Elephas maximus indicus: one gene and its partners. The protein of the gene in region 1 interacts with the protein of each later gene in a biochemical or structural test. Links are inferred from orthologs where the notes say so. Each region holds a gene or a part of one and is shown in the gene's direction. Other genes may lie near its edges. The genes, in order: MAGI1, ADRB1 and CYSLTR2.

Region 1 (10,332 bases):
TCTCTTGGTTCCTACATCGTACCTCAGATCTGACATCTAATTCCAAAAGTTATCAGTATCCACGTTTCCCATGTAAATGAATCAGAATATGAGGTAGGATTTAAACCCTCTTTCTGGAGTTCCTTCTCTGGGGTATAAAAATAATAGTTCACATGTGATGTCTTGAAAGGTCACAAACACTAACATTGTATTTACTCTTGCGTAGTTAAAAAAAAAAAAAAAATTTTTTTTTTTTTTTTAGTTGGAAGTATTAACGGGAGGAATACCGTGGGCAGAGGAAACCACCTATCTGCCTCCCTGATGAGGAAAGGAACAAGTTATCAAGTGAAACATAAAAATGCTTCCAGGAAATAATTATGAAAATGTTGCTTTGCTATCTACCTTCTACCTGAACTACTGGGTTAAGCCTCCCCGACCTGTCTTCTGTTTTAAACCACCAGTTTGGAGTCAGTTACCTTATTGTATACGAAGTATTTAAATTCCCTATCTCTGATTAATGCCTCTTGCTAGCATTCTTCAAACACAGAAATATAACCTATTTCTTTCTTTGCCCTACAGCTGAACAATTTATTTCCATCCTCATATTTTCAGAAAAATGAGGTAAAATACCATCTTAAATACCAGTTATATACTTCTTTAATCACAACTGGAAAACTTTGGAAAGAAACAAATTTGGCACAAGGAGGAGAAATACACATTTCATATTTGTGTTTTTTATTTTTCAACCCTCCAAGTAGAACTACTGAATGAAAACAAGATCTTTATCTGTTGAGAGTTTGTTGGGTGTCACAGTTTATTTTTCATCTGCATCCACTGTTTATTAAGAGTGTTGTTGAAATACCTCCTCAATAACGGTCTAAGAACGTTTGCCTCTTCACCTGTGCCACAGCCCACAGATTTCCAAACACGTTAGACATGTTTGCAAATTAATCCTCTTTACATTCCAGGAAATTATTCCATCTTCAGAGCCCACAGATGGGGAACAGGAAATTGGGTTCCTGAGTGGAATACTGTATTCCTTCAGATTAAAGGGAAGAGACAAAGAGGGTGATTAATTACTGTGCATACACTATGTGGCAGACTCAAGAGCCAAAATATACTCTTACCAAATGTGCTAAAAGTAGGTGCCCATATCCTACATCTCATAGTGAAGTGGCTCAGAGCAGGGGCTTTGGGTCATGCTTCTGGGTTCATATCCTGGCTTTGTCATGTCCAAGCTCTGTGACCTTGGGTATTTCTTCACTTCCCTCCCTTAACTGCAAAGTCAGTGTCTTAGTTGCTGCTGTAACAGAAATACCACACGTGAGTGGCTTTAAAAGAACAGAAATTTATTTTCCCACAGTTCTGGTGACGAAAAGTCCAAATTAGGGTCTTGACGATATTAATTCCTTCTGTGAGCCTCTCTCCTAGTTTCTGGTGTCTGTTGGGGATTCTTGGTGTTCCTTGGAGTTCCTTGGTGTCTGCCTTCCCTGCGTGTGTCTGGGTCTTTTTCTAATTCAGAAGTGATTAGGTTTAGGATCCACCGTATTCTGGTATGACCTCATTAACATAACAAAAGAAAAATCCATTTCCAAACATCCACAGGTACAAGGACCAGGAATTCAACACATATTTTGGGGAGACACAGTTCAGTTCATAACACTCTTGGTCAGTTATAACATCTACCTTATGTGGCTGCTGTGAGGATTAAATGATACCCATAATGATCCTGGTACACAGGTAAACGTCAAAGTTATGAACTTCACGGTATTATTCTCCCCATCGGAATGTACTGCCAAAGTCATGGCATAAATGAGAGATACCTGGACACCAGGGTCCCACCTTATACCTATTCAAGAAAAATTCACTTCAAACTCTTCCAAGAAAATAACCTACAAATACCTCGGTTCTAGCCACTAAATATAAAAATTGGCTTTGCGTCAAAGGCCACAAGTTAAACAGTTTAACATCAAATTTCATCCATTCATTCAATTATTCAGTAAGTGCGTATGGAGCACAGTCTCCATCAAGGGTTGTTTTAGGTTCTGAGGATTCATAAGTTGGGTAGGGCAGATACGATTTCTGCTCTGAAGGGGTTTCCGGTCTGGGACGTAGGAACCAGATCAGCTGAAACAGAAAAAACAGCAGAAGTGAGAAAAGGGCAAGAGAGTTTGCAAACATATAACTAATGCTTCAAAACCGGCAGCTTTGGCTGCTTCGGAGGCTTGAATTATTTCCTGTCTCCCTATTCCTTTCTCCATCCTGCACTCTGTACTCCAATGTACTTCTTCTCCTGGGGTTACTCCACATTTAAATCCTGAAGTGTGCTAAAGGCCACATCCATTTCCCTCTTAGGTGCAGGGACACCTGGAATCCTGGAGAAGGAAGATGGCAGCACCACAGTGGGAGGAGTCCAGAAGCACCTGGCCCTGCACAGCCCCTAGACTACCCATGCAGGGGCGGGAGTCCAGATGGCCCTGCACAGCCCCTAGACTACCCATGCAGGGGCGGGAGTCCAGATGGCCCTGCACAGCCCCTAGACTACCCATGCAGGGGCGGGAGTCCAGAGGTGCTGATTCTAGGGAGGTGGAGGAATTCCTAGCTAGCAATCAGTCTTTACTGGACTATGGAGTGGGGGAGGGGGTGGGCGGAACCCGCAGGATCAAGCTTACTAGTAATTTGTAAGGTAATCTGGGATTCCCCTCTAACATGGGAGGTGAAAATGTGCATTTTTCTGGGAATATTCATTCAACCAATACATGAGCATTTACTAGGTACCAAGTACTGTTCTAGGAGCCTCTGCATGGTGCTAACAGTTAAGTGCTCGGGTACTAACTTAAAGATTGGTGGTTTGAACTCACCTAGAGGCACCTCAGAAGAAAGGCCTGGTGACCTGCTTCCAAAAGGTCACAGCCATGAAAATCCTGTGGAGCACAGTTCTACTCTGAAATACAATGGGGTAACCATGAGACAGAAGCTGCTTGAGTGAGGCACTGTTTTAGGAACTGGGAATACATCAGTAAACACAACCGCCAAATTTCCTGCTCTCCCAGAGCGTACACTCCAGAGGAAGATGAACCATACACAGCTTTATACTAAAAAAATTGTTTAGGAATTATGGTGCTAGAGCCGTGGTCCTCAACATTGTGTAACAGCACCACTTGGGGGCACCTTAAAAATCCAGATGAGAGACCCTCTCCCTGACATTCGGGATGGCTGGACCTGGGGTTGAGTTTAGGATCCTACTGAAGCTCCCCATAAGATTCTGTTCCACAGGTTTGGAACAAACCAGTTGTTTCTGAGACAATCAACCAACCAACCCATCGTCTTGGACTCGTGGCGGCCATATGTGTTAGAGAGTGGAACTGCCTCATTGGGGTTTCTTGACGGTAGTCTTTACGCAAGCAGGTTCCAGGCCTTTCCTCCACCGCACCCCTGGGTGAGTTCGAACCACTAACCTTTATGTTAGTACCAAACCAAAAACCAAGTCTGTTGGCGTCAAGTCAATTCCGACTCACAGCCACCCTACAGGACAGACTGGAATTGCCCTGTAGGGTTTCCAGAAAGCGGCTAGTGGATTAGCAGTCAAGCACAAATCATTTGTGCCACCTGGGGACCTCCTTCTGAGAAAAGAGGCTGGAGATGAAGGACGCGCCCCTCACCAAGGAGGGCCACGGGAAATTGGCCACCTCCTTTCAGAAACACAAGGAGGCAATAAGATTTTAAGTTCTGGATATTCCAAGAGAGAAGCATCAACATTCTTTTCTTGGATAAACCAAACCAGTTGCTGTCGAGTCAGTTCCTACTCACGGCAACTTCACGTGTGTCAGAGTAGAACTATGTATGCTCCATGGGGTTTTCAATGACCGATTTTTCGGAAAAAAGATCTCCAACCCTTTCTTCTGAGGTGCTTTTGGGGTGGACTCAAACCCCCAACCCTTAAGGGTAGCAGCCTAGTGCATTACCCTTTGCATCGCCCAGGGACTTCTAGCAAGAATAAAACCCATTGCCTTCAAGTCAATCCCAACTCATAGCGACCCTATAGGACAGAACAGAACTGCCCCATAGGGCTTCGAAGGAGCAGCTGGTGTATTTGACCTTTTGGTCAGCAGCAAATCTCTTAACCCCTGTGCCACCAGGGCTCCCTATAATAAAATAGAATCCTAAAAAAGTGCTTTAAGATATTTAAATATATGTTTACACATTTTTTAAGTTCTAGAAAGTAAATGAATTATCATCATTTAACCTGAAACCTCAAATGAATTCCTTTCCCTTTCCAAATTGAGTATTAATACTACTAATAATATACTTTTATTATATGCCACTTGACGAGTATTTGCTTTACAAGTATTCTCCCATGTAACGCTCCCAAGGACCCCGTGAGGTACTGTTACAGTCTTCTTACAGGGCAGAAAATGAAGGCTCTGAGAGACCACGGAACTTGCCCAAGGTCGCACAGAGTGGACCACGGGAAACAACACTCCGGAGCCCAGCTCTCAACCTGACCCCTGGGGCATACCACTCTCTCAGTCCCCTCAACTCACCTCCCTTATTTAGCATTTGGACTCTCTCCTGTGACTAAAGATGAATAATCAAGTTATAAATCATTAAAAGGAAAAAGAAACCGCTTGGGAAAGTCCTTAACCGCCCAGGCCCATCAAGGGAGTATTTGGATAGGGCAGCCTTCGTGGCGACTGTGTTTCTCCTGCCTGCGGCCGAGCTGGTTCTGTAACCTCACCGGACAGACACACGCTCTCCCCGCCTCTGGGCGGCTCCCGAGGTGGAGCGACCTGGGGCCTCGAATTCTGAGAGGTGGCGGCTGCGCGCCTATGCCCCAGACTCCGTGGCGATCCTTATCTCCTGGCCTCGGGGCGGGTCCCCAGGCTTCCCGGCTCCGCCAGTACCTTGAGTCCAGGGCAAATGACAGACTCCAGAAGTCTCTTCTGGAAGGACAGTTAAAAAGCTAGATGCCATTTAAACGAGGGTTGGAGGTCCGAACCCCTCCAGCCCCTGGGCTTCTCTCCCTCGCCTGTATTTTTCCCTGTGTCCTATGACGTTGGCTCCAAAGTTTAACGGCGTATGGGGGCGTGCGAGGCTCACAGGGATCCCAGATTGGTAGCTCCCGGGATCCTGGCAGATCCCCCGCCAGAACGCGAAACCGCGGGCACACGGCGGCGGGGAGCAAGGGCGCGCCTCCCGGGGGTCTCAGGGGTTTAGAGGGAAATTGGCTGGGAGTGTCGGGGGCGGACACAGCGGGCTAGGTGATCCACAGCCACAGGCGAGGGCGGCAGGAGGCTTAGGGCCAGCGTGAGTGCGTGAGTGTGAGCGCAAGGGTGAGTGTGTGAGCGCGGGGGGAGAGTGTGAACGCGGGGGTGAGCGCGGCGGTGAGGGTGAAAGTGAACGCGGGGGTGAGTGTGAGAGCGGGGGTGAGTGTGAGCGCGAGGGTGTGTGAAAGCGGGGGTGAGTGTGAGCGCGGGGGTGAGTGTGAGCGCGAGGGTGAGTGTGTGAGCGCGGGGGTGAGTGTGAGCCCGGGGGGGAATGTGTGAGCGCGGGGGTGAGTGAGCGCGAGGGTGAGCGCCGGGGTGAGGGTGAGCGCGGGGGTGAGGGTGGGAGCTGGGGTGAGGGTGGGAGCTGGGATGAGGGTGAGCGCGGCGGTGAGGGTGAGCGTGAACTTGGGGGTGAGTGTGAGTGCGAGGGTGTGTGTGTGAGCGCGGGGGGGTGAGGGTTAGCGCGGGGGTGAGTGTGAGCGCGAGGGTGAACGCGGGGGTGAGGGTGAGCGCGGGGGTGAGTGTGTGAGCGCGGGGGGGGTGAGGGTTAGCGCGGGGGTGAGTGTGAGCGCGAGGGTGAGTGTGTGAGCGCGGGGGGGTGAGGGTGAGCGCGGGGGTGAGTGTGAGCGCGAGGGTGAGTGTGTGAGCGCGGGGGGGTGAGGGTGAGCGCGGGGGTGAGCGTGAGCGCGAGGGTGAACGCGGGGGTGAGGGTGAGCGCGGGGGTGAGTGTGTGAGCGCGGGGGGTGAGGGTGAGCGCGGGGGTGAGTGTGAGCGCGAGGGTGTGTGTGTGAGCGCGGGGGGGGTGAAGGTGAGCGCGGGGGTGAGTGTGAACACGAGGGTGAGTGTGTGAGCGCGGGGGGGGTGAGGGTGAGCGCGGGGGTGAGCGTGAGCGCGAGGGTGAACGCGGGGGTGAGGGTGAGCGCGGGGGTGAGTGTGTGAGCGCGGGGGTGAGGGTGAACGCGGGGGTGAGTGTGTGAGCGCGGGGGTGAGGGTGAACGCGGGGGGGAGTGTGTGAGCCTCCCCAACCCCCACCTGTTTGAAGCGGTTTTAAAATCCCGAAGTCAGATTCTTTATGTTTCAAAAGTTTCAGTTTAAGTGAAATACATGCGCTCTTCCTATATATTTTTTAAGTTCTGGAAAGTAGGAGGCGAATTACCATCCTTTAACCTGAACCCTAAAAGGAGCTGCTGGGTCTACGCCTCGGAAAGAAAAGGAGGAGGACGCTCAGCGGTGTGCGAAGGGGAGGAGGGCGGCAGTCGGCTGCTCTCAGGCTCGGCTTTAGGACCCAACGGGAAGCCCGTTGGACTCTTTCGCTCAGGGAAGGAGAGGCGGGGCGGGCCGGATGGCAGGCGGCCGCGGGGCGCATGCGCGCGCGTCTCCTCCCGCCGGCCGCTTCGCTGCGCTCGGCGGCGCGGAATAGAATGAAATGTAACAAAACAAGCCGAGCCTTTGTATCTGCTTAAAGGGGCCGCGGGCACTTCCCTGCTGTCCTCCCCCTCAGCGCCGCTGCGCCGCCGCGTCTCCAGGGCTCCCTGCAACTGGGCTGGCAGGGCTTGCCCCACCTCGGGAGCAGCCGGCCAGCGAGGAAGGACGAGCCGGGCGGGAGGCAAGGAGGAGGCTCCGCATTTCTAAAAGGCAAGAAAGAAAGGAAGGAAGGAAAAAAAAAAAAAACCAAAAAAAAACCCGGAGCGGCGTAGAGTGGACTCTGGTCCGAGCGAGCGCGATCGGGCGCCCGGACGTGGACCGAGAGGCACCGGAACGCAAACAAAGCGCGCGGGCGCCCGTGCAGGCTCGGTGGGGAAGCCCAGAAAGTTTGTTTGACGATGGCCTGAGTGCGCGAGTGTGTGCAGGCGAGCGAGGCCGCCAAGTTCCTCTCCAGGGGCGTTACTGGGAGGAGGTGGCTCTCCTATGAACCACCGGCGGCTTGGAGGCTTGCGCTGGGGGGGCACCTGTCTCTCATTTTATTTTATTTTTTGGAGGAGGGGTGTACCTCGTCATGTCGAAAGTGATCCAGAAGAAGAATCACTGGACCAGCAGGGTTCACGAATGCACCGTGAAGCGGGGGCCCCAGGGCGAGCTGGGGGTGACGGTGCTGGGGGGCGCGGAGAACGGGGAGTTTCCGTACGTCGGAGCGGTGGCCGCGGCCGAGGTGGCGGGGCTTCCTGGCGGAGGAGAGGGTCCGAGGCTGGGCGAGGGGGAGCTGTTGCTGGAGGTGCAGGGGATCCGGGTGTCCGGCTTGCCCCGCTATGACGTGTTGGGAGTCGTCGACAGCTGCAAGGAGGCCGTCACCTTCAAAGCCGTCAGACAAGGTAAGACCGGGCGCGCCTCTGGGGGCGCCCCTGGAAAACTGCACGGCCTGTGGGGTGTCTCCCTAACCGTGATTTCCCGCGTTCCTCCTCGCAGCGAACCCGAGAGGGGACGTTGAGGCTGTGTGCCCTGCAGTAGAGACATACACAAAGTTGTTGCGAGACTGTAGGTTGTTTGCCCACCTGCTTTGGAAGAGGCGTCTGGGTTTGAACAGGGAACCGGGGAGACGTGTCGCGGGCCTGGTTGCCAGCCTGTTATCTCAGCCACCAAACGCAGCGCAGCCTCGCCTGCACCTGGAGGCGAGTTGGGGAACTGAGGCTGGAGCAAAGGTGGACGCTCCAGCAGCTCCTTGGGGGAAGAAGTGCTGCGGGCGCAGCTGCTGACTTTCTTCTGCCATTTTTCTGTTTCCAGACCTGGAAAGTGGGTATGAAGGAAGGAAGGGTCCTCAGTTTACTGGATCCCCTCCACCCTAAAATCGGCTTCACCCCACAACCCCTCGCCTGGCGGTTCCTAAGCCCGCTGCCTGAAGATTCTGCATTCACCCCACAGCCGAATGACGCATGTGTCTCCACCGTTTGGCCCAGCACCGGGCGGGGCGAGGGGGTATTACTCTTAGCGCAAATCTAGACCCAATTTACGCTGTCATTATTATCATCATCCTCTATAATAACGATAGCTACCATTCATTGATTTGTGTTCCGTGCTAGGCTCTGGGTGCTGCCTTACTTGTATGATTTCACTCTGGTTCACAATCCTAAGAAAGAGTTGTTTTTATAAACCCCATTTAACAGATACGGAAACCGGGACTGACATTGGTTAAGTGACTTGCCCAAGGTCACACCCCTACCAAAAGCCTGGTTTGAGTTGCAGAGCCTTAAGCACTGAGGAGGTAGGAGGTAGGGGTTGGGGGATGACCCTTAGGGACTGGAGGGGCTAACTTGTGTCAGGAAGTAGACTAGATTTTCCCCTGAGAAGCCTGGAGGGGTCTACCTCTTAGAGGATGGAAGATGCAGTTGGTTGGGGGAGGAGGAAGAGGGGTGTCTTACATCTTGGTTTGGGACAGCAAGGGGCTGTTCCTACATCAGTCCAGCAGAGAAGACTGGAGTCTCTAAAAGGCATCCCTTGTGTGACCAAACACCATGATGCAGTTCTCTCCCTGAAAACACCAAAGGAGGTGACATAGTTGAGCATGGTAAAGAGGTCCCACATGTGTCTGTCGGTGGACAGCAGCTGGAGGAATGTGTCAAAGGAAAGAAGGCCTGGGCTGGGCTTCTCTTGGAAACAGGCTTGTTCCAGGAAAGGGAAGAGGGGGCAGGGGATAGCTAAGTCTTTGGTAGCTTTGGGAGCTGAGGGGTGGACACTGAGCTATGAAAATCTTTGGCCATTTATGTCCTCATCTCCACTTGGACACTTCCTCCAAGAAGCCTTCCAGGTTCCTGCCAGGATGAACAAATCCTTCTTCCTCTGGGCTCCCTTGATGTGTACCTTGTGGTTTTTAACTTAGAGCTACAAGTTGGGTCCTACTCCTCTTGTCCCAGGTAGTAAGCTTACTGCAGGGAGAGACTGTGCCTCATTCCTAGCCCTTCTCCCCAGCCTTTGCTTGAGACCCACCTCTGAGGGTGTTCCCTTATCTATAAAATGGCTTTCTTCTGGGTGTTATGTAAACTAGTACAGGAAGTGCACAAAACAGTGCCTGGCATGTACTGAGTGTTCAGTAAAGGTGAGTTATTGTTATGTTTGAATTGAATTGAGTACTTACTTCTTTGTAAGGTTAACTTTTGATGTCAGGGACCTGAATTATCAGGATTTGATAGAGTTGTAGGGAAAATACTGTGTCAGGACATTTGATGGGAATGGATGCAGGCATTTTGGAGAAAGGGGTGGAGAAAGGATAGGCCAACCTAGTGGGGTGTCTGGTGGTGTCCGATGGGCCCATGGGGACGTGTTTTCAGTGTGCCCGATGCTGCATATAGCTGGGCTTCCTCTCTTCACTGGCCATCAAAAGAGACAGGAGGCATTGTCCCAGGGCTGCGTCATTATGGAGCTTTGGAAGGGTTGGGGAGTTAATCAGGTGGGTTTAGAAGTGGGTTCAAAGGGAAGTATAGTCTCTTAGAACTATTCTGTGTGCACATAATGTTCACAGCAGCTGTGTGTGTATATAAAATTACTTGTAATGGAGTAGAATAAAAATGTTGATGAGGAATCCCGAATGGCCTGGAATCCACTACAGTGTGAAAGCTATTACTTCTCATAATAATTACACAGACAACAGTTAGCTCTTCTTATGTCTTCATTGCTAGTAAAGATGGCACTAGAAGCCACTTCATCAGGCTGTTGTTCCCTTTTTTATACCGAGAATGTAATTTAAGTGACATGACAGAACTGCACTTACTGTGTCTTCGTTACTGTGTCCTAATATCAGGCAGGTCCATATTTGGTATGTGGCAAAGAAAAGTGTTATTTCTGTATTGTCTACACCTTGAGTTAACCACTGCCAGTGATGCGGGTCACTCTGCGTGCTATCTGTATGGAAATGTCACAGTCTTATTGTGGGAGAAGATTCTGCTGTTTCCACCTTATGGCATCTCCCTGGAAAGATGCACGCGCCAAAATAGTCTAGCAAATGGTATTAGACGCAGGACTGGATTGTGAAGGAATCCAGCTAAGTGGATCTGCAGGGTTGGAGTTGGTTCATTTTAAATGGAGAAGATTGTTGTGTTTCAGAAGGTGCCTAAACTAGGAAAAAAAGAAAAAATATATATATGTTTTTATATACTTT
Region 2 (10,493 bases), on another chromosome or scaffold:
CAATGTCTTCTTTTATTTTAGGAAAACCACTGAACATAAGCTTTTAAGTGATTCTTCTATTCCGCTGGAATTTATTAAGCACCTACAACCTGGTCAGAATAAATGAGGGCTAAGATGTTTAAAGGAATCGACTTGAGGGCACTGGGTGGTTTTTAAGATGTTTAAAAAGCATCATTCCTATCTTTCAGGAGCTTAAACCAAGGGATTGGGGAATTTTTGCTGCTATAAACTCCTTCTTCAGCTTTTTAGACTATAATTGTTTATCTGCAACACTGTAAGAGCCTGTTAATATAAAAGCTAGAGTGTGCAATAATTAGCACAGCTTGTTGTCATCACAAGCTCTGGACTTGGGCAAAGTGAAGGACAACTGTTAGCCAAATGGTGATCATGGGTAGTGACAACACTTCCATTGCTACCAGCACTTTAAGATAAGATTTCACCTGATGGCCAATCAATTTTTATTCATTATACAACTGAATAAGAGTAGAATTTTTGAAAGTTGGTTTACATTTTGTACTGCAAAAAAAAAAAGTTTTTTTTGGTACTGGGAGTCACGACACTAGTCACTTGAAAAAAAAATCCTTTCTCTGCTGCTAATACTTCACCACTGAAATACCTTAGAAGAAATTTATTTCAGAAAATCACATAAACATAAATACTTTAAACAAAAAAAAAAGAATACATCTGAAGAACGGTGCCAAAAAATAAAGCAAAAAAAAACCTACCTTTTTTAATAAGATGACTTGCCAATGGTAAAAGCGCTTAAAAATAGTTCACTGTTACCAGTCTTCTAAATCATATTAATATCTAGTATGAGGAAGAAAGGAGAAACTGAAAAAGAAAGGCTTATTTCGGTGAATTAACTATTTTCGTAGTCACACCTTTCTTTGTTTGAAATGCGATGATAATTGGATAAGACAGCAATAAATGCTTCACAGGTATAGGGTGTTACATGAGATTTCAAGACGCTTTCATATACATTATCTCACTCAATTCACACACAACCCTGTGCAAGAATGAATGACAAGCCCGTTTCCAAGGTGAAGCCACCGCTGAAGGTCAAACAGAAAAGTGACAAAGCCAGGACACAAATCTGGATCTTCTGCCTCCCAGGTCAGAATACTCTCCAATACATCCAAATTTTGAAAAATACTATTTTTGGCTCTGGCGTTGTTCAATGTACTTATCAAGCACACAAGGAAGAGGAGGAGGAAGTGAAGAGGGAGGAAGTGGGGGAAAGAGGAAAGCTTTTGAATTTTCCAAATAGTCCACAAGTTCCTATGATTATACCGCTGTCTTCTGTGTTCACTGTGATCACCGTGGATGGAGTGGCTTGTCCCTGTGTAAACTGTGGTTGTAAAACCAACATATGACCTTAAATCGCAGCCACGGGCGCAAGCTGTTCTTTGATTACTTAGCACTAAATGACTGTTTTAGCAGTTGTGTTTCTCATGTGAAGAGAGATATGTCTTCTCTCTGAAACAGTCACTTGAGCTCTGATTAATAAATTCCCCCACCTATTATCAGTTTCAAGACAATTTTTGCTAGCCAACTGTTTGGCCACGCTTCTTGATGTTTTACTTGGAAATCTGTCCCTCCCCAGGACTTCCCTGGGCCCACCTTCCACCAGCTGTGGAGGCAGTCTACTCCCCTTTCTTTTTTAACTTATGTTCTAGCAAAATCAACTCAAAAATGGAAATGTCTTTGCCGGTACCTGGTGCTGTTGACTTGATTCCAACTCATGGTGACCTCATGTGTTTCAAAGCGGCTGTGATCTTTCAGAAGTAGATCAAGAGGCCTTTTTTCAGAGGCATCTCTGGGTGTATTTGAATAGCCAAACTTTTAGTCAGTAGCCAAACACTTAACTGCCCACCCAAGGACTATATATTATGATGAGCCCACTGTCTTTGAGTCGCTTCCATCTCATAGCAACTCAACAGCACAGAGTAGAGCTGCCCCATAGGGTTTCCTAGGCTATAATCTTTACCGAAGCAGACTGCCACATCTTTCTCCCATGGAGTCACTGGTAGGTTCAAACTGCTGATTTGGCTAGCAGCCAATAAGATAGTACTTTTTATTATGCAACTTGCAGGGCCCCTTTGGAAAGCCTCTTGCCTATGTACTTCTTTATTCATTACTCAGTGTGGTATCTCATGAGCCTACCTTGAATTTGTAAGGTGTTTTGAAATGTTTACATGGAAATGCTGACTAGGCTATAGAAATTTGACTTATTATGACAAATTATAAGCATGAGTGAAAATTATAACTCTCAAAACACTAGATTATTTCTCATATGAGTAAATGTGAAATGGTTTAATATAATTAAAATATAAAATATTTATGAATCAATGCTAAGTGTTAATATTAGGTAAATATTAATAAACATGGAAGATATAAAAATGTATAGGGCAGCCCTGGCTCTTGGCGAGCTTATAATCTACAAGGAAATGCATTTCTGTGAGTGATAAAGCTAGAATTTGGTTGTAGAGGTACTTAAGTTTCTCTGAATTTCTGTTTAAAAAAATACATTAAATTAGAAACATTCAAAACCAGAAGGGTATTCTTGCAGGAGTTCCCAAGCAGGGCTATAAGCATAAAGAGAAAAACCCATTTAAAAATTAAATAACAATATAAGAGGCATCAAAAGGCAAGAGATTGCTAATTGCCACCTAAATGGCAACTGGAAGAGTAAGTCAGAGGAAGGAGAGACCATGTCTCGCAGTCAGGGACCAAAAAAAAAAAAAACCAAACCCATTGCTTTCATGTCAACTTTCTTAGCAGCCCTATAGGACAGAACAGAACTGCCCTATAGAGTTTCCAAGGAGCATCAGGTGGATTCGAACTGCCGACCTTTTGGTTAGCAGCTGTAGCATTTAACCACTACGACACAAGGTTTCCAGCAGTAGGGGGCAGGGAAGAATATAAAAGAAATAAGACTTCAGCCAGGTCTTGAAAACTGAATCTAGTGAGACAGAGGAGGAAGGGATTCTTGGTGGAAGCAATCAGCGGGAAAGAGTTGAGAGCCAAGAAAGGAAAGAGTTAAGGACTGCAGGTTAAGGTGACATGGACAGTTCCAATGAGAGAGAACTCTGGAAAGGCCATTTGGAACTGGACTGTGGAGGACATTGAATGTCAAGTAGAGTTCAGGTTTCTGAACAGAAAAGCATGTTGGTCAACGCCCTGTTTTAGAAATATTAACCCGACTGTGGTATGCCAGAGCAAATCAAGGGGACGGACTAGAGGCAGGGAGATGACATAGAGCCCGTGGCAGGTTCTGGTGTGGCGTGACGGACGTGAGATGGGAACAGGAGAGGTGTGGGTGGAAAACACTGAGAGAGAAGCACACTACCTCTCAAGTGTGCTGATTAGCATCATTGCTGGAGCTCTGTCATTTTCTAAAGTATTGTCCAATGTGTGGGTTCAGAGCTGATTCATTTTAACAATTGTAGATGGAGGATGGAGGGATGGAGGAGTTATTCATTTTGAAGTTGCAACCCCCAAAACATTTAATATCTGTGTAAGTTGATATGTTGAACCTTTTCCCCTTGATCTTGGATTCTCATCTAAACACTAAAAGTATTAGCCAAAGTATGTCTCAAAAAGTCATGAAATGGAGGAATTAAGGGAGATATGGGAACATTTTCTTTTAAAAACAAAGCTAATTCAAGTTCAGCATGGACTCTTCCAAACTTCTCAGTCAGTACGCCTGCAGGAAAGCCCCAAGAATAGCTGGCGCCCCTTTATGCTTATAGCCCTATTTGGGAACTCCTGCTAGAATACCCTTCCGGTTTTGAATGTTTCTGATTTAATGTATTTTTTTATACAGAAATTCGGAGAAACTAGATTTAAGTACCTCTACAACCAAGTTCTGCCTTTACTCACAGAAATGTATTTCCTTCACCCTTCAGGGGCACTTAAGGTTGCCACACTCTATTCTGGTAACACCACTTGACAGAAAGATGGCGCCAGATAGAACGCCTTTCCTCCACATTCCCCACCCCACAGCCAGGCACTCAGAACCTCTTTTCTGGGCAGCATCAATTTCAACTCTTTCTAATCCCCTGGTTATTTTGAGACTATCCCTTGAAGGCCTGAAAGAAGGATGCATTCTCCAGCCTCAACTCTTTCTAGACCCTCTTGTTTCCTGGCTCTCTCTCCTCATCCTCCTCAAATTGGCAGAAGTAGGCCGGTAAGTCCTAGGGGAGGGGCGAATAAACAAATAAATCACTCCCCAGTTGTAGCACTCTGAATACCAAGTTTGGACCTAAAGCATTTCTATATACTTAGATTTAAGTAAGAGAAGGTAGTTAAAACTACTTAACTTTATAAACTTAATAGGCATTGCTTTTTGCCCTTAAGCTGAGTAGCTATGGAAGTCAGTCTCTCTCTACAAGGTAAGAATATAAATTTGGTCCAGAAGTTGATGTTCCTTCCAGATGCTGATTTATTTTTATGCCAATGCTAGAAAGATGTGTGAGCATTATATAACATTTTCACATACCCTTGCATAAAAAATTAAAAGTGGTTTACTTCTCAAAGATGCAGTGAAACATTCTTATTTTTCAGGCCTGAGCTGAGGACATTACCATGGTCGATCAAATTAGAGAAGAGGGTTTGCTGTCGCTCTGATGTTGATGGCAATGCTATCAGTCCCCCCACATAATCCACCCACAAAGGGCAGATTTCACTGATTTCAAACCGATTCCCTAGCAACTCAAAAGCCACTGGTCTATCTTTAAATGCTTTCAGATTTTAAACCTCTTGAGTATTTATGTATTTTCTTTTCATATCCTTCCAAAACTAACCCCAGAGTTTTGAGAAATCTGGAAACTTGGGCAAAGGAGAAAACAACCCTGCAGACCAAGAAGTCTGAAATCGTATTTTTATTCCTTCAACCCAAACTGGCAGGACCTTTTTGTTTGTATTGACCCAGCTCAAATTATAAAACCATATAAGTAATAAAACACAAAATACAGGTGTTATCCCTGAAGGTAAAAAGACTGAAATGTAATTAAATGTGCCCTTTCTTCGTGGCGATGTCATTTACTTTGTAGGTTAATATTTGTGTTTCCTAAAAATCTCTCTGTTTTTATTACAAACACACACGGTTGCATCATACTCACACATTCATTATTTGGGACTGAGGAGTGTGTGTTTTTCCAACTCGGTCTCAGCGTTAGCTGTTGGATGCACAAACATCCGCCTCCTTTCTGCGTCCACTGCACTGGTACAACAGGAGCCGGTTGCAAGAACAGCGCCCCGAGAGCGTTGCTGACAGATGCGAGGTTTGCTCCTGCCACGCGCTCGGCTGGGAAGTTTCCTCTAACCACTGACACCCCTCTCCAATCCCCCGAGCTGACAGGACGCAGGCTGGCTGGGTCCCCTTTTGATGAGGGAAGGGTTTTGCACACACCCTGCTAGGTTGCCCGATCAAGAAACAATCTCGCTGCCAAACTCCTCCAACCTCAGCGGACAGACTGTCTAAGGCGCTCTGGCGCTTCAAGAACACCGAGGTCCCCTCCCGGCTAAAAGGAGCACGCGCTCTGCTCTGCAGGAGACCGGGCACTGGAGGTAGAGGGGAGGCCAGGGGGCCTGGGGGTGCAGAAGAGTTGGGGGAGGCGTTGAAGAGAGCGGGATGTGGAAGAGGGAGCCGGGCGCTGTAGGCAAGAGGGGCTTAGAAGCGAACGGAGCGTAGAAGCCAGTGGGCGGGGGGGGGGGTCACAGGACGGGGCGGGGACGCGGAAAGGAGCCCGGCGCGGTAGCCGGCGTTGGAAGAATGGGATGCAGGACTGGGCGCGCGCAGGAACCGGTGGGCTCCGAGGTGGCGCTCGCTCTGAGCTCTGCCCCCAGCTCCCCCAAGCCACTTAATTGCGGGTGAGAGGGAGGTGCGGGGACTTGGGGAGGGGGGGAACAAGATAGGGGCGTGCCTTGGCCCTGATAGGCTGCAGGAGCCTGACGCGACGCCCAGGGGGTTGGCTTGGACCGGGTGGGAGGGGGGTGGGGGGTGCTGGGTGCCGGAGCTGCGAGCCCGGCGCGCTCAGAAACATGCTGAGGTCCCGGCGGCTGTTCCAGCAGCGGCAGCGGCTCCAGCAGCAGCGGCGGCGGCGGCGGCGGCGACAGCGCTAGGCTTTGGCTCAGGCTGGGAAGGCGCCCGGCGTCGATGCCTCAGGTCCGGCACCGCGACTGTCCTGACCCGGCCGCGACCTGCCTCGGAGCGCCCCGCTGCAGCGGCTTCTGGGGTGTTCTCCAACCACGACCCAGCCCCGCCACACCCCCTGCCCCTGGCCTTCGCAGCTCGGCATGGGCGCGGGGGCGCTCGCCCTGGGCGCCTCCGAGCCCTGCAACCTGTCGTCGGCTGCTCCGCTTCCCGAAGGCGCGGCCACAGCCGCGAGACTGCTGGTGCCGGCATCGCCTTCCCCCTCTTTGGTGCCCCCAGTGAGCGAAGGCCCCGCGCCGCTGTCGCAGCAGTGGACGGCCGGCATGGGCCTACTGATGGCGCTCATCGTGCTGCTCATCGTGGCGGGCAACGTGCTGGTGATCGTGGCCATCGCCAAGACGCCGCGGCTGCAGACGCTCACCAACCTCTTCATCATGTCCCTGGCCAGCGCCGACCTGGTCATGGGGCTGCTGGTGGTGCCGTTCGGGGCCACCATCGTGGTGTGGGGCCGCTGGGAGTACGGCTCCTTCTTCTGCGAACTTTGGACCTCGGTGGACGTGCTATGTGTGACGGCCAGCATCGAGACCCTGTGTGTCATCGCCCTGGACCGCTACCTCGCCATCACGTCCCCCTTCCGCTATGAGAGTCTGCTGACCCGCGCGCGGGCGCGGGTCCTCGTCTGCACCGTGTGGGCCATCTCGGCCCTGGTATCCTTCCTGCCCATTCTCATGCACTGGTGGCGGGACAAGGGCGAAGAGGCGCTCCGCTGCTATGAGGACCCCAAGTGCTGCGACTTCGTCACCAACCGGGCCTACGCTATCGCCTCGTCCGTCGTCTCCTTCTACGTGCCCCTGTGCATCATGGCTTTCGTGTACCTGCGGGTGTTCCGCGAGGCCCAGAAGCAGGTGAAGAAGATCGACAGCTGCGAGCGCCGCTTCCTCGGCGGCCCCGCGCGGCAGCCCTCGCCCGCGCCCTCTCCGACCCCTCCGCGCGCCCCTGCCCCGGTGGCCAACGGCCGCGCTGGCAAGCGGCGGCCCTCGCGCCTCGTGGCCCTCCGCGAGCAGAAGGCGCTCAAGACCCTGGGCATCATCATGGGCGTGTTCACGCTCTGCTGGCTGCCCTTCTTCCTAGCGAACGTGGTGAAGGCCTTCCACCGCGACCTGGTGCCCGACCGCCTCTTCGTCTTCTTCAACTGGCTGGGCTACGCCAACTCGGCCTTCAACCCCATCATCTACTGCCGCAGCCCCGACTTCCGCAAGGCCTTCCAGCGCCTGCTCTGCTACGCGCGCCGGGACGCCCGGGGCTGCCATGCGGCCCCCGGCGACCGGCCGCGCGCCCCGGGCTGCCTGGCTGTGGCCGGGCCGCCACCGTCGCCCGGGGTCGACGACGACGACGACGACGACGTTGGGGCCCCACCGCCCGCGAGCCTGCTGGAGCCCTGGGCCGGCTGCAACGGCGGGGCGGTGGCGGACAGCGACTCGAGCCTGGACGAGCCGACCCGCCGGGGCTCCGGCTCGGAATCCAAAGTGTAGGGCCGGGCGAGCTGCGGGACGCCAGGGCCCCGCCACGCTGCCGGCCTGGGACGCGGAGTCTGCGTCCCGGGGAGGAGGAGCGCCCGGGCACCCTGGAATGGCTTCCCAGGGGAAAGGGGAGAGCTTGTGTTTACTCAAGACCGAAAGCAGGTGAATGCGACGCCCACAAACCTCGTCTGAATCAGCCAAGACAAAAAGAAAAGCCACGCACCGTTGCACGAAAAGGAAAGTTTGGGGAGGGATGGGAGAGTGGCTTGCGGGTTTTGCTGGAGTTCTTTGATGTTTGTGGTTGGCCTTCTTCTGTGTGTGCGGGTAATGCATCTTTAGATTTTTGTTTTCCCCCTCCACGTGGTTTTTTGACACTTTTCGACAAGGACCAGAGTGAAAGTTGGGTGGATAGGGGAAGGGAGAAGCATTAGGGAATAAAAGTATCTCGTTGGCGTCCACCCCATTCCAGGGGAACAGGAGCATTCAGCTGGGGCGGGGTAGGGGACAGCTTGTCAGGGCGTGTTCCCTTTTGCTTTCCAGACAGTTTTCATTTTAACTTCTGGGTAACGATTCCTCCTGTTCTTAAAGCAAAGCGAAAGGATGGATGCAGAAATCGTGTTTCAAGCCATTTTCAGCTATTCTTAGAACAAGCCTCACCTTGCTTAGCTTTCGCAGGGCTGACTGGCTGCCCCCGCCCGCCCCGCGCGCCTCGGTGGTCAAGCTGAGGGCGTTCTACCTCACACTGTGCATATTGCACAGCAAGATGCAAAGCCTTGTTTATATTAAACAGTTTATTTATGTATCAATATTAGTTTGAAGGACCAGGCACTGAGCCTTTGTGACATGTGACTCTGTCCCTTGAAGACGGGACAGAAAACTTTTCAAAAAAGGAAACAATTCTAGTATCAAAACAGATAACTGCACATTTGGGTAAAAACAAACAAAAAAGAGAGTGGCTCAAAATGCCATTTTTGCACAGTGTTAGAAATTTTGAAGTCCACAGATGTTACTTGCACAAAAAGAAATGAAATGTTTTTATGGGGTGGGGAAGTGTCTTAAAAACTAAAATAAAATTCGAACTCTTCTTCTGTTGTCTATTGTTATTTGAGCTAGCGATTTACTGGGAAAATACCTTTTTATACTCTTTTATCATGGTACTGTAACTGTATCCATATTATAAATATAATTATTTGAAGGTTTTTTTTTTTTTTATGTCCAAGTGTCCCCATGAATCTGCTGGTAAAATTTAGCACTCGTGTGTAAATTCTATTTCCTCTTGTGTGTTTTACCAAGTATTTATACTCTGGTGCAACTAACTACTGTGTGAGGAGTTGGTTCACGTGCAATAAATGCCAGTGAAGCACAATCAAGGTTATGTATGTGTGTTTGTAAAGGGTCAGTGATAATGGAAAGGACAGCTTGTTTTGCTCAAAATACAGATGGGATTTCCAAGATAGCCCTTCTAAAAGCTTTTCATGACTCAAAAATGTCTGTAGACCAAAAAGACAAAAAAAAAAAAAAGGCGAGCACCTCCTGAGAGCTGCAGACTTGCCCTACATTTTCACAGGTGGATTCAGGGTGTTCCAGGCTCCTTGTAGGCGTTGTCAAGATCCCATCTGCTGCACTTGACTTCAGAAATGTGAACACCGTGTGGAGCACAGCTCTACTCTGACACACATGGGGTCATCATGAGTCAGAGTTGACCTGATGGTAACTTTTTTTTTTTTTTAATCTTCTAAATAAAGCAATCGGCCTGGTAACAAGGCTGCAACGTTGTACAGAAATATAAGGAGAAAGACTAGTGCTTTCAACAGTAAGTTGCTTCCCTGGAATACGGTAAGTGGTTTCCATGGCCCATTTCTGTTTTCCAGTGGAAAATCACTTCAGTGTTCAGTGTGTGCATATTTCTCCCGTGGCTGTTTAGAGTGAAAAATGCTTTCATGCCTAAGTAAAAAATTTATAGAGCGTCTTCTTAAGTAAATACTTTTTCTCTTCTGTAATTAGATAGATCACTTCAGCAGTTCTGGGTGGGCAGGTCACAGGTAAAAGCCAAGGGTGAAATCATTTCACTTTGTAACGAAATTATCACACCCCACCGGATGAGTTTTTTTTCCCCATGAAATTAGTTCTTAAGGAAAGCATAGTGAAATTCCATCCTGAAACTGAATGTGTTCTCCAAAATAAGTTTAAGTATCTCTCTTTGTATTTGTAAGCTCAGCTTTTCATATTGTGATTGTCCAGTAAAGCTTAGGACATAAAGCTGTGGCTCTTGTCGTGCTGTAACACTGAGCAGACTGTATTCTACTAGGGAAAGTCCAGACTGATGACCCTTTTTTGCAAGGGGATATTTTAAAGACTTGGAAGGAAGCTTCTGAGAAAGGTTAATAATATAGACGTTTTAGAGTCTAGCAGAAGGTTGCATGAACAGTAGCCTTTTCAACAAAAGCTAACCTGTTTGGAAGACCAAGATGGCAAAGCTTGTTTAAAAGTACAAAGCTAAGTACTTAAGGAAATTCATTCTAGAGAATGTAAAATCAGTCTCAGGATGAAATCTCGTTATACCTTCCCTGGGAACTAAATATAAGTTCTTTGCTATCTGCTACCACCACCACCAGGTAAGACACACTTTGTTAGGCATTTTGTCCTTTATTTAAGTTGTACTAGATATTAGCAGATGTTCGCCATTTCGTCCAATATGCCAAAGTACCAGATTAATGCTTCACTTTTCTCATTTCCTGATTATTTACTTACTTTGTCTAGATAATTCTACACATTTAAATAAAAAGAAAATTTCCCCAGCATAAAATGTAGATTTA
Region 3 (9,626 bases), on another chromosome or scaffold:
GATGGACATCCAGTTTTGCCAGCACCATTTGTTGAAAAGACTGTCTTTTCCCTATTTAATGGACTTTGGCCTTTGTCAAAGATGAAGTGACTGTAGGTGGATGGATTTACATCTGGATTCTCAATTCTGTTCCATTGGTCAATGTGTCTGTCATTGTACCAGTACCAGGCTGTTTTGGCTACTGTAGCTGTATAGCAGGTTCTGAGCTCAGGTAGTGCGAGGCCTCCTACTCTGTTCTTCTTCAATAATGCCTTTTACTTATCTGGGGCCTCTTTCCTTTCCATATAAAGTTAATGATTAGTTTTTCCATCTCATTAATGAATGCTGTTGGTTTTTGGATTGAGATTGCCTTGTATTTGTAGATTGCTTTGGGTAGAATTGACATTTTCACAATGTTGAGTCTACCTATCCACGATCCTGGTATGTTTTCCCATTTATGTAGATCTCTTTTGGTTCCTGCAGTGGTGCTTTGTAGTTTTCTTTGTTTAGGTCTTTTACAACTCTGGTTAGATTTATTCCTAAATATTTTATTTTTTTAAGGGGTTATTATAAATGGTATTGCTTTCCTGATTTCCTTTATTGGTGTGTAGGAATCCCACTGACTTTTGTGTTTGTCTTGTATCCTGCTACTCTGCTGAATCTTTCTATTAGTTCCAGTAGTTTTCTTGTGGAGTCCTTTGGGCTCTCTATGTCTAGTATCATATCATCCATGAATGGGGATAATTTTACTTCTTCCTTACCAATTTGGATGACCTTTATTTCTTTTTCTTGCCTTACTGCTCTAGCTAGAGCTTCCAGTACAATGTTAAATGGAAGTGGTGTTAAAGGGCATACTTGCCTTTTTCCTGTTCTCAGGGGGAATGTTTCCAGCCTCTTTCTGTTGAGAATGATATTAGCTGTTGGTTTTCTATAGATGCCGTTTATTATGTTGAGGAATTTCACTTCTATACCTATTTTATTGAGAGTTTTTATCACAAATGGGCGTTGAACTTTGTTGAATGCCTTTTCTGGGTCAATTGAGACGATCAGGTGATTCTCTTCTTTTGCTTTATTTATGTGGTGGATTGTGTCGATTGATTTTTTTATGTTGAGGCATCCTTGCATACCTGGTATGAATCCCACTTGGTTGTAGTGTATTATTTTTCTGATATGATGCTGAATTCTGTGGGTGAGAATTTTGAATCTATATTCATGACAGGTATTGGTCTTTTTTTTTGGATGGTGTCTTTGCTTGGCTTTGGTATAGGGTTATACTGGCTTCATAGAATGAATTTGGGAATATCTTTTCCTTTTCTATGTTCCGAAATAGTTTGAGTTGTGCTGGTATGAGCTCTTCTCTGAATGCTTAGTAAGATTCTCCAGTGAAGCTGTTTGGGCCAGGACTTTTTTTTCTGCTTTGCTTTTGGGAGTCTTTTTATTACCTCTTCTATTCTCTCTCTTGTTATAGGTCTGTTCAGATTTCCTATCTTGGTTTGTGTTAGTTTAGGTAGGTAGAGTGTTTCTAGAAAATTGACCATTTCCTCTTGGTTTTCAAATTTGTTGGAGTATAATTTTTCATGGTATTCTGTTATGATCCTTTTTATTTCAGTTGAGTCTGTTACCTTATTTCTTATTTGTTTTATTTGCTTCCTTTCCTGTTTTTCTTTTGTCAGTTCGGCCGATGGTTTTTTGATTTCGTTGATCTTTTGAAACAACCAATGTTTGGTATTGTTGGTTCTTTCTATTGTTTTTCTGTTCTCTATTTCATTTATTTCTGCTGTAATCTTTATTATTTCCTTTATTTTTGTGGCTGTGGACTTCTTTTTTCTGCTCTTTTTCTATTTGTTTGAATTGTAAGGCTAACACTTTGATTTTGGCCCATTCTTCTTTTTTTGATGTATGCATTTATTGGTATAAATTGAACTGTGAGCGTTGACTTTGCTGTGTCCCAAAGTTTTTGTATGATGTTTTTCATTTTCATTCATTCTAAGAACTTTTTGATTCCCTTTTTGATCTCTTCTATTACTCAGTTTTTTTTTAAGCAAGGTGTTATTCAGTTTTCATGTATTTGAGTTTTTTTTCCCTTGTTTTTCATGTTATTGATTTCTACTTTTACAGCATTGTGATCAGAGAGAATGCTTTGCATTATTTCAATGTTTTGGATTTTATTGAGCTTTGCTTTATGTCCTAAAATTTGGTCTATTCTGGGAAATGTTCCATGGGTGTTAGAAAAAGATGTATGCTTTGGAGCTGTTGGGTGGAGTGTTTTATATATATATATCTATGAGGTCAAGTTGGTTGATTTGTGGGTTTTCTTTTCTTTTTATACATTTTATGTGTACTGAGACTTTTTCTCCTTTTTCCTCTGATGAGTGGGTTTGTTAGGTCTCTTTATGGTTACCTTGAAATTTACCCTTACCTTCCTAAGTTTAAACAGTCTTTTATTACTTGATGTTGCCTTAATTTCTCCTCCATTTGAAAGTTCTGTACCTACACTGTTTATTTCCTCTTTTAGAGTTTTGACATTGTTGTCATTTACAGACTGGTGTCTGTGTTTCCTGTTTTAAGTCTATTAGCCTTGTTTTATTATTGAGAGTTCTTTACCTAGGTTAGTATCTGTCTGATGCTGTCCTGTGTGCTAGACCCCAGTTGTTGTTTGATGTTGTTGGTTCTCTAACCAAAGGTCTTCCTTTAATATGGTTTTAAAATTTGGTTTGGTTTTAATGAATTTCCTTAAATTCTGTTTATCTAGAAATGTCCTAATTACATCATTGCAATTGAGAGATTTTTGCAGGGTATATTATTCTTGTTTGCCATTTTTTTTTCTTTCTTTTCATATGTCATCCCATTGTCTCCTTGCCTGCATTGTTTCTGCCAAGTAATCAGAGCTTAGTCTTATTGTTTCCCCTTTGTAAGTGACTTTTCATTTTTCTCAAGCTGCTCTCAGAGTTCTTTCTTGGTCTTTGGTTTGGCAAATGTGAATATGATATGTCTTGGTGAGTTTCTTTTGGGATCTGTCTTAGGCTGGTTCTCTAGTAAGGCAAAACCAGTAAAGTATTTAATTATATAGAGAGATTTATATCAAGTAAATGGGTCACATGGTTGTGGAGGCTGTAATGTTCCTAGTCTGTGGGTTATGATGGAGGCTTCTCCTCATTCACATAGCCACAGGGCCTGGCAAACCCAAGATCGGCAGGTCAGAGAGCAGGGCTCTTGCTCACAGGCTGCAAAGACTGATGAATCCCAAGATCAGCAGGCAAAATGGCAAGTAAACTCCTGGCTTAAGTCCCAAGAATCTGAGGTCAGATGAGCAGGAGCCAGCTGAAAGATCCAGAGGAAGCAAAAGCCCATGAATCTTGCCAGAGTCCACCTATATTGGATGCAGGCTACACCCACAAGGAAACTCTCTTTTGACTGGCTATTCAAACAGATCCCATTGTTGATGTGATCACATTATATCATATCTCATCATGGAAGAGATCACATCATCATATGGCTTCCAAACTACATCATAACTGTCAAACCACTGAGAATCATGGCCCAGCCAAGTTGACACACGACCTTAACCATCACAGGGTCTATCCTATATGGAGTTCATTGAGCTTCTTGGATGGTCAGCTTTTCTTCTTTCATGATACTTGGGAAGTTTTCTGCCAGCAAATTTTCAACAATTTTCTCTATGTTTTTCATTTTATCCCCCTGTTCTGGAACTCTGATCACATGCAAATTTTTGCTCTTTGATTGTGTCCTTCATAATTCTTAGGTTTTCTTCATTCTTTTCTCTGATTTCTCCTCAAAGTAGCGTCCACGTATTTGTCTTCAGTCTTGCTGATTCTGTCTTCCATTGATTCAAATTTTCTCCTAAAACCTTCTACTGAGTTGTCAATTTCTGAAATGTTATCTTTGGATTTCTAGTTGCCGTTTTTGTATTATTTCTAATTCTTTATTCATTTTGAAGTTTTGTTCTTGAGTTTTTTTTCCTGAAGTCTTCTATTGTTTTGTGTTTTCCCTGATTTTGCCTGTTTTTTTTCCATGTTCTCCATGATTTTGTTTGTTTTTTCTTTGGTTTGGTCTGTGCTTTACTTCATCTCTTTCTTAATCTGTTGGAGAGCCCTAAATATTAGTCTTTTGCACTCCATATTAGGTAGTTCCATTCTTTGTCTTCCCTTGGTTGGTTATCTGTTTCTTTCTTTCTTTTTTTGCTGGAGCCACATTGCCCTGCTTTTTTATATGTTTTGGTATTGTCTGCTGCCTCCAAGACATCAAGGTACGGTTTTCTGTATTTATTGATTGTGTGTTTGTTTGTTTCATCCTGATCTTTGTTTTTGTTTTTTTTTATATGTCAGGGTGGGCTGGCCAGGCATGCTTTGCCAGTTGCTCATCATGGACACAATAACTGTCACCACCTTGTCTGGCTGGGCAGAGCACTAGCATGTATTGTGAGCCCACTTTGCTGTACACTTGTTTGGTGAGGTGCTGAGGGCAGACTGGGGGGTGCTGTCTACCCCTGGTGTTGGTCCAGCGATGTGAGAGCATTCACAGTCCTTTGCGAGAGAGGTGGGAGTGTCAGACAGGAACTCGTTCAGCAGCTGGTTGGGTGGCAAAATGGGAGGGGCAGTGTAAGTCCATTGCATTGGTGGGCCTGAGGCAAGCATGCTTTAGCCATGGCAGCACCACAAGGGCCAGTAAGAAGAGGGGGCTGGTGTATGGGGCTAAGTAAGGGAAATAAAGAAAAGAAAAAAAATGAAAGGGTAACTGGAGTGTGGGCTTGGGGTGTACCTGGGGCCAGTGGAAGTGGGAATGAAGCGTCTTACAGGGCTAGCTGGGAGAGAGAAAGAAAAAGAAGAAAGGAAAGAAAAAGAAGAAAGGAAAAAAAATGGCACAACAGGAATTGGTGGGTAGAGTTGGGGCGGACCTGGAGTGATGGCAGACTAGTAGCTCTCTAGCTGAGAGGCACAGCTTTGCCTGTTGGGAAGGGGTTGGGGTGGTGTAGGGGGCTAGGCAAGAGGGAGAAAGAAAGGGAAGAGAGAGAAAAATATTGCACAACAGTAGCTGGTGGGTGGGGTGGGGCAGACCCAGGGTGATGGCAGGCCAGTAGCTCTCTAACTGAGTGGCACAGCACTGCCCATCTGGAAGGGGTGAGGTTGGCATATGGGGCTAGGTGGGAGGGAGAAAGAAAGGGAAGAAAGGAAAAAATAATGGCACGACAAGAGCTATCAGGTGGGGGTGGGGTGGACCCAGATGATGGCAGGCCAGTAGCTCTCTAGCTGAGTGGCATGGTGTGGCCTGTCAGGAAGGGCTGGGGGTGGCATACAGGGCAGAAAGATGAGGAGTGGGAAAGCGTGTTTCTCTGGTTACTGGGTGCTCTGTCTCCTGTTGCGAGCTCTGTGGAGTTACCGTCCTGTACTTCCTGTCCAGGATCTTTGCTGGCTGTGCACCAAGATCTAGTTGTGCTGGACTCAGTCTGGTGGAGGCTGTGGTAGTTTTGGCCCATTAGTCCTTTGCACTAATCTCTCCTTTGTGTCTTTGGTTTTCTTCATTCTCCCATGCTCCTGACGGAGTAAGACCAGTGGAGTATCTTAGGTGGCTGCTCACAAGCTTTTAAGACCCCAAACGCTGCTCACCAAAGTAGAATGTGGAACATTTTCTTTATAAGTGTGTTATGCCAGTTGAGCGAAATGTCCCCCGAAACCATGGTTCCCAGCTCTCAGACCAGTAATTTCATCCCTCAGGGAGTCTGGATGTGTCTGTGGAGCTTCCATGACCTTGCCTTGGACAAGTTGTGCTGGCTTCCTAAACAGAATGCTTTTAATATTTCACCGATGAGTATGATGTTTGTGGTAAGTTTTTGATAATATCTTTTACCAGATTAAGGAAATTCCCTTCTGTTCCTAATAGCTTAAGTGTGCTTTTTGTTTGTATCAAAATCATGAATGTATGCTAAATTTTATTGAATGCTTTTTTGGTTATATATTGAGATAATCATGTATATCTAAAAATTTTCTTAATGTGTTAAATTAATAGGATTTCATGTCTTAAAACATCCTTACATTGTTGAAATAAACTCTAGTAAGTCACGATTTTTTTTACACATATTGCTGAATTCAGTTCCCTAATATTTTGCTTATGATAATTACATTCATGTTCATACCTAAGCTTGACATACAAATTTTTCTTCTTATACTTTCTCTCCTTTTTTAGTTGAGAAGTAATTCTTCTTTTTCTATTATCTGAAACAGTTTGTATGGGTAAAGAGTTATCTGCTCCTTACAGTTTTGGTAAAACTTGTTTCTACAGTCTTCTGAGCATAGTGCTTTCTTGGTGTGTAGATTTTTGGCTTCTGATTTAATTTCTATTACAGATATGGTTGGGTTTGACAGTCATTCATTACCAGCAGTAAGTCTCTACCAGTTATTTGCAGCAATTGTCTGTTCTCATTTTTTTGTCATTTGGATTTATCATTCCCCATCCCTATACCCATTGTGAATGTTTTTTAATATCCCTTCTGGACTCATCTTGAGTTACTTTAGATAATTTACATTTAACCAAAACCAAAAACTCTATTTGATCAACGTTTTAAAATGCATTATCATGAAATTATTCAAAATATTTAGTTAAAATTTTAACAATCTTGACAGTAAACCCTTTCATTCCTAATATGATTTATTTGTGGCTTCTCTTTTTCTTGATCACATTTGCCAGGAGTTTACTTAGACTTTATTTATGTTTACATAATTCTAATTGAGGAGGGGGTTGATTCTATTGTTTTTCTCTAAATTTTATTTTGAATAGTGCTGCAGTGAACATTGGGGTGCATGTATCTGTTCATGTTCTGCTTTCAGGTCTCTTGGGTATATATCTAGGAGTGGAATTTCTGGGTCATATGGTAGTTCTACATTTAACTTTTTGAGAAACCAGATATTTCACCAAAGTGGATTTTCAAAAGGCCAACAAGCACTTCAAAAAAATGTTCAACATCTAATGATTGTTGTTATTGTTAGGTGCCGTCTAGTCAGTTTCAATTCATAGCAACCCTGTGTACAATAGAATGAAACACTACCTGGTTTTGCACCATCCTCACAATCATTATTATGCTTGAGCCCATTGATGCATTAACCATTAGAGACATACTAAGGATGGCTAAGATAAAAGCAAAAACAAACAAAGAAGAATGGAAAATAACAGAGGTTAGCGAGGATGTGGAGAAATTCGAACCTTTATTCGTTGCTGGTGGGAACATAAAATGGTTCAGTTTGCTTTAAATTTTTTCCCTCATTATTCTTGTTATGATGCAGATTCACTAGGATGTATAAAAGAGGAATTTATATTTATTTTTTTGCTCCGAACTCATACGGAGAACTTATACTCAATCTGAGTATTCTTTCATCAATTCAGTTCTTTTAAGCTCTAAGGCCACAGTCTTTTTTACTCTCTAGCTTTTTGGTACACTATAGTCATACTTTATGGGAGACATGCAGTTATGGAGATTTTGCATTATTAAAAATTCATTTAAATCAAAACTAATCTTTGGAGGCGGAGCCAAGATGGCAGAAGAGACAGATGCTTCCATCGAGCCCTCTTTACAAAAAAGACTCAAAAAAACAAGCGAAACCAGTATATTTGTGACAAGCTGGGAACCCTGAGCATCAAAGGTAAGCTTAGACAGTGAACTGAGGGGCAGAGGGAGGAAGAGACCGATCAGAAGCAAAGAAGACTTACCAGACCTGAATCACAGGGAGCCCTCAGGCACCATTCCCAGAGTGGCGACTACAGCGGTGGCGGCGGGCTGGTCCTAGCGTTCAGCTGCAGTTTTCTCAGGGAGAAGCAGCCAGCCACACAGCCCACTCACACCCTCAGAGCCTGAGGAGAAGGGCGCTCTCGGCAAAAGCTAAGTACTTGCGTATATTTTACTGCACCCCCCACCCCCAACCCAGCTTCAGCGGCTGAATCCCTGGGCCTGAGATAGACTCTGGTGAGCACCTGGAGCCGTCCTCCTGGCCTTGGGGAAGGAAAAAATTTGCAACTGGGGGGAAAAGATAATTTGCTAGCTCCATTAACTGGGGGAGCTCAGGACAGAAGCAGCTCCTGTCCAGGCATAAACTGTCCATGGACCTTGAGCACCTTTCCCTTCTGCATGGACTGTGTGGGTCTATTTCGGGAGAATAGGCCCTTGATGGCAAACACCAACCATTTCAGCTGTGCAGTGGAGAGGTGGGTGTTTCACATTTGACATTGCTTTACCTATTAAACAAGGTTCTCAACTACTCACAACAGGGACCTGAGGACTGGTGGCTCCACGTGGGTTGCCTAGCCACCTGTGACAGGGGTCCAGGGATAACTGGTACCTCCCAGTCCTTACAACCAAAAACTTTGGGTGCCCATGGTCCCTCTGCAGAGACCATCCACCAGCACGCTCTAGGGAACAGAGACATGTTTCCTCAGAGACACTTGGGGGTCAGTTCTCAGCCCCCTGCCTTGTTCAGAGCGTGAGCCCCCGCTGCAATCAGATACTGGTATATACGCCAATCACCCCTGCCCCTCTAAGGCTGTATGACAGAGCTGGTACCACACACTTGACATCAGCTACCTGGAAACCTGAGCTGAATTCATACAAGAAAACTGAATGGACTCCTAGACTGATATACCTGATAACAGCTCTAGCCAGCTGGAGAAGGGAAACCAGCGCTCCAAAGGTGAAAATAATCAAGCTAGCTCACTGAAGCAACCCATAGGCGTATACCAAAACAAAACAAAGCAAGCAGCTACGAGACAGTAAGCAAGCATAAACTAATACAATAACTTATAGATGGATCAGAGACAACAGTCAATATCAAGTCACATAAAGAAAAAGGCCATGATCACCTCAACAGGCTCTCAAAACAAAGAATCCAGGAATCTTTTAGATGAAAGTGAATTCCTGGAATTACCAGATGCAGAATACAAAAGTTTAATATACAGAACCCTTTAAGACATCAGGAAGGAAATGAGGCAATATGCAGAACAAGCTAAGGAACACATAGATAAAGCAACTGAAGGAATCAGAAAGATTATTCAGGAACATAATGAAAAGTTTAATAAGCTGGAAAAACCCATAGACAGACAGCAATCAGAAACTCAGAATATTAAAAATAAAATTACAGAATTAGATAACTCAATAGAAAGTCAGAGAAGCAGAACTGAGCAAGTAGAAGGTAGCATTTCTGAACTCGAAGATAGATCACTTGGCACTAATATTTGAAGAAAAATCAGATTAAAGAATTAAAAAAAAAAAAATGAAGAAACCTTAAGAATCATGTGGGACTCTATGAAGAGAAATAACCTACGAGTGATTGGAGTACCAGAACAGGGAGGGATAACAGAAAATACAGAGAAAATTGCTGAGGATTTGTTGACAGAAAACTTCCCTGATATTGTGAAAGATGAGAAGATATCTATCCAAGATGCTCATCGAACTCCATATAAGGTAGACCTTAAAAGAAAGTCACCAAGATATATTATAATCAAGCTTGCCAAAAGCAAAGATAAGGAGACAATTATAAGAGCAGCGAGGGATAAAAGAAAAGTCACCTACAAGAGAGAGCCAATAAGAATAAGCTCAGACTACTCAGCAGAAACTATGCAGGCAAGAAGGCAATGGGATGACATAT

Evidence for each region.
Region 2: the proteins of MAGI1 (region 1) and ADRB1 interact in a test that uses a peptide from one of them, tested with the Homo sapiens proteins (2 studies listed by IntAct). The link is inferred for Elephas maximus indicus from reciprocal best matches to the Homo sapiens genes MAGI1 and ADRB1.
Region 3: the proteins of MAGI1 (region 1) and CYSLTR2 interact in a test that uses a peptide from one of them, tested with the Homo sapiens proteins (2 studies listed by IntAct, with this or other methods). The link is inferred for Elephas maximus indicus from reciprocal best matches to the Homo sapiens genes MAGI1 and CYSLTR2.

The regions. Positions count from the first base shown.
Region 1 is NC_064838.1:71,686,815-71,697,146, reverse strand, and holds the start of MAGI1 (membrane-associated guanylate kinase, WW and PDZ domain-containing protein 1), read left to right. Parts: upstream 1-6,372; 5' UTR 6,373-7,242; coding exon 7,243-7,555; intron 7,556-10,332. UniProt on the Homo sapiens protein: Plays a role in coupling actin fibers to cell junctions in endothelial cells, via its interaction with AMOTL2 and CDH5. May regulate acid-induced ASIC3 currents by modulating its expression at the cell surface.
Region 2 is NC_064834.1:64,995,964-65,006,456, forward strand, and holds ADRB1 (beta-1 adrenergic receptor), read left to right. Parts: upstream 1-6,197; 5' UTR 6,198-6,300; coding exon 6,301-7,689; 3' UTR 7,690-9,061; downstream 9,062-10,493. UniProt on the Homo sapiens protein: Beta-adrenergic receptors mediate the catecholamine-induced activation of adenylate cyclase through the action of G proteins. This receptor binds epinephrine and norepinephrine with approximately equal affinity.
Region 3 is NC_064832.1:30,343,088-30,352,713, reverse strand, and holds the start of CYSLTR2 (cysteinyl leukotriene receptor 2), read left to right. Parts: upstream 1-5,059; 5' UTR 5,060-5,117; intron 5,118-5,711; 5' UTR 5,712-5,819; intron 5,820-9,626. UniProt on the Homo sapiens protein: Receptor for cysteinyl leukotrienes. The response is mediated via a G-protein that activates a phosphatidylinositol-calcium second messenger system.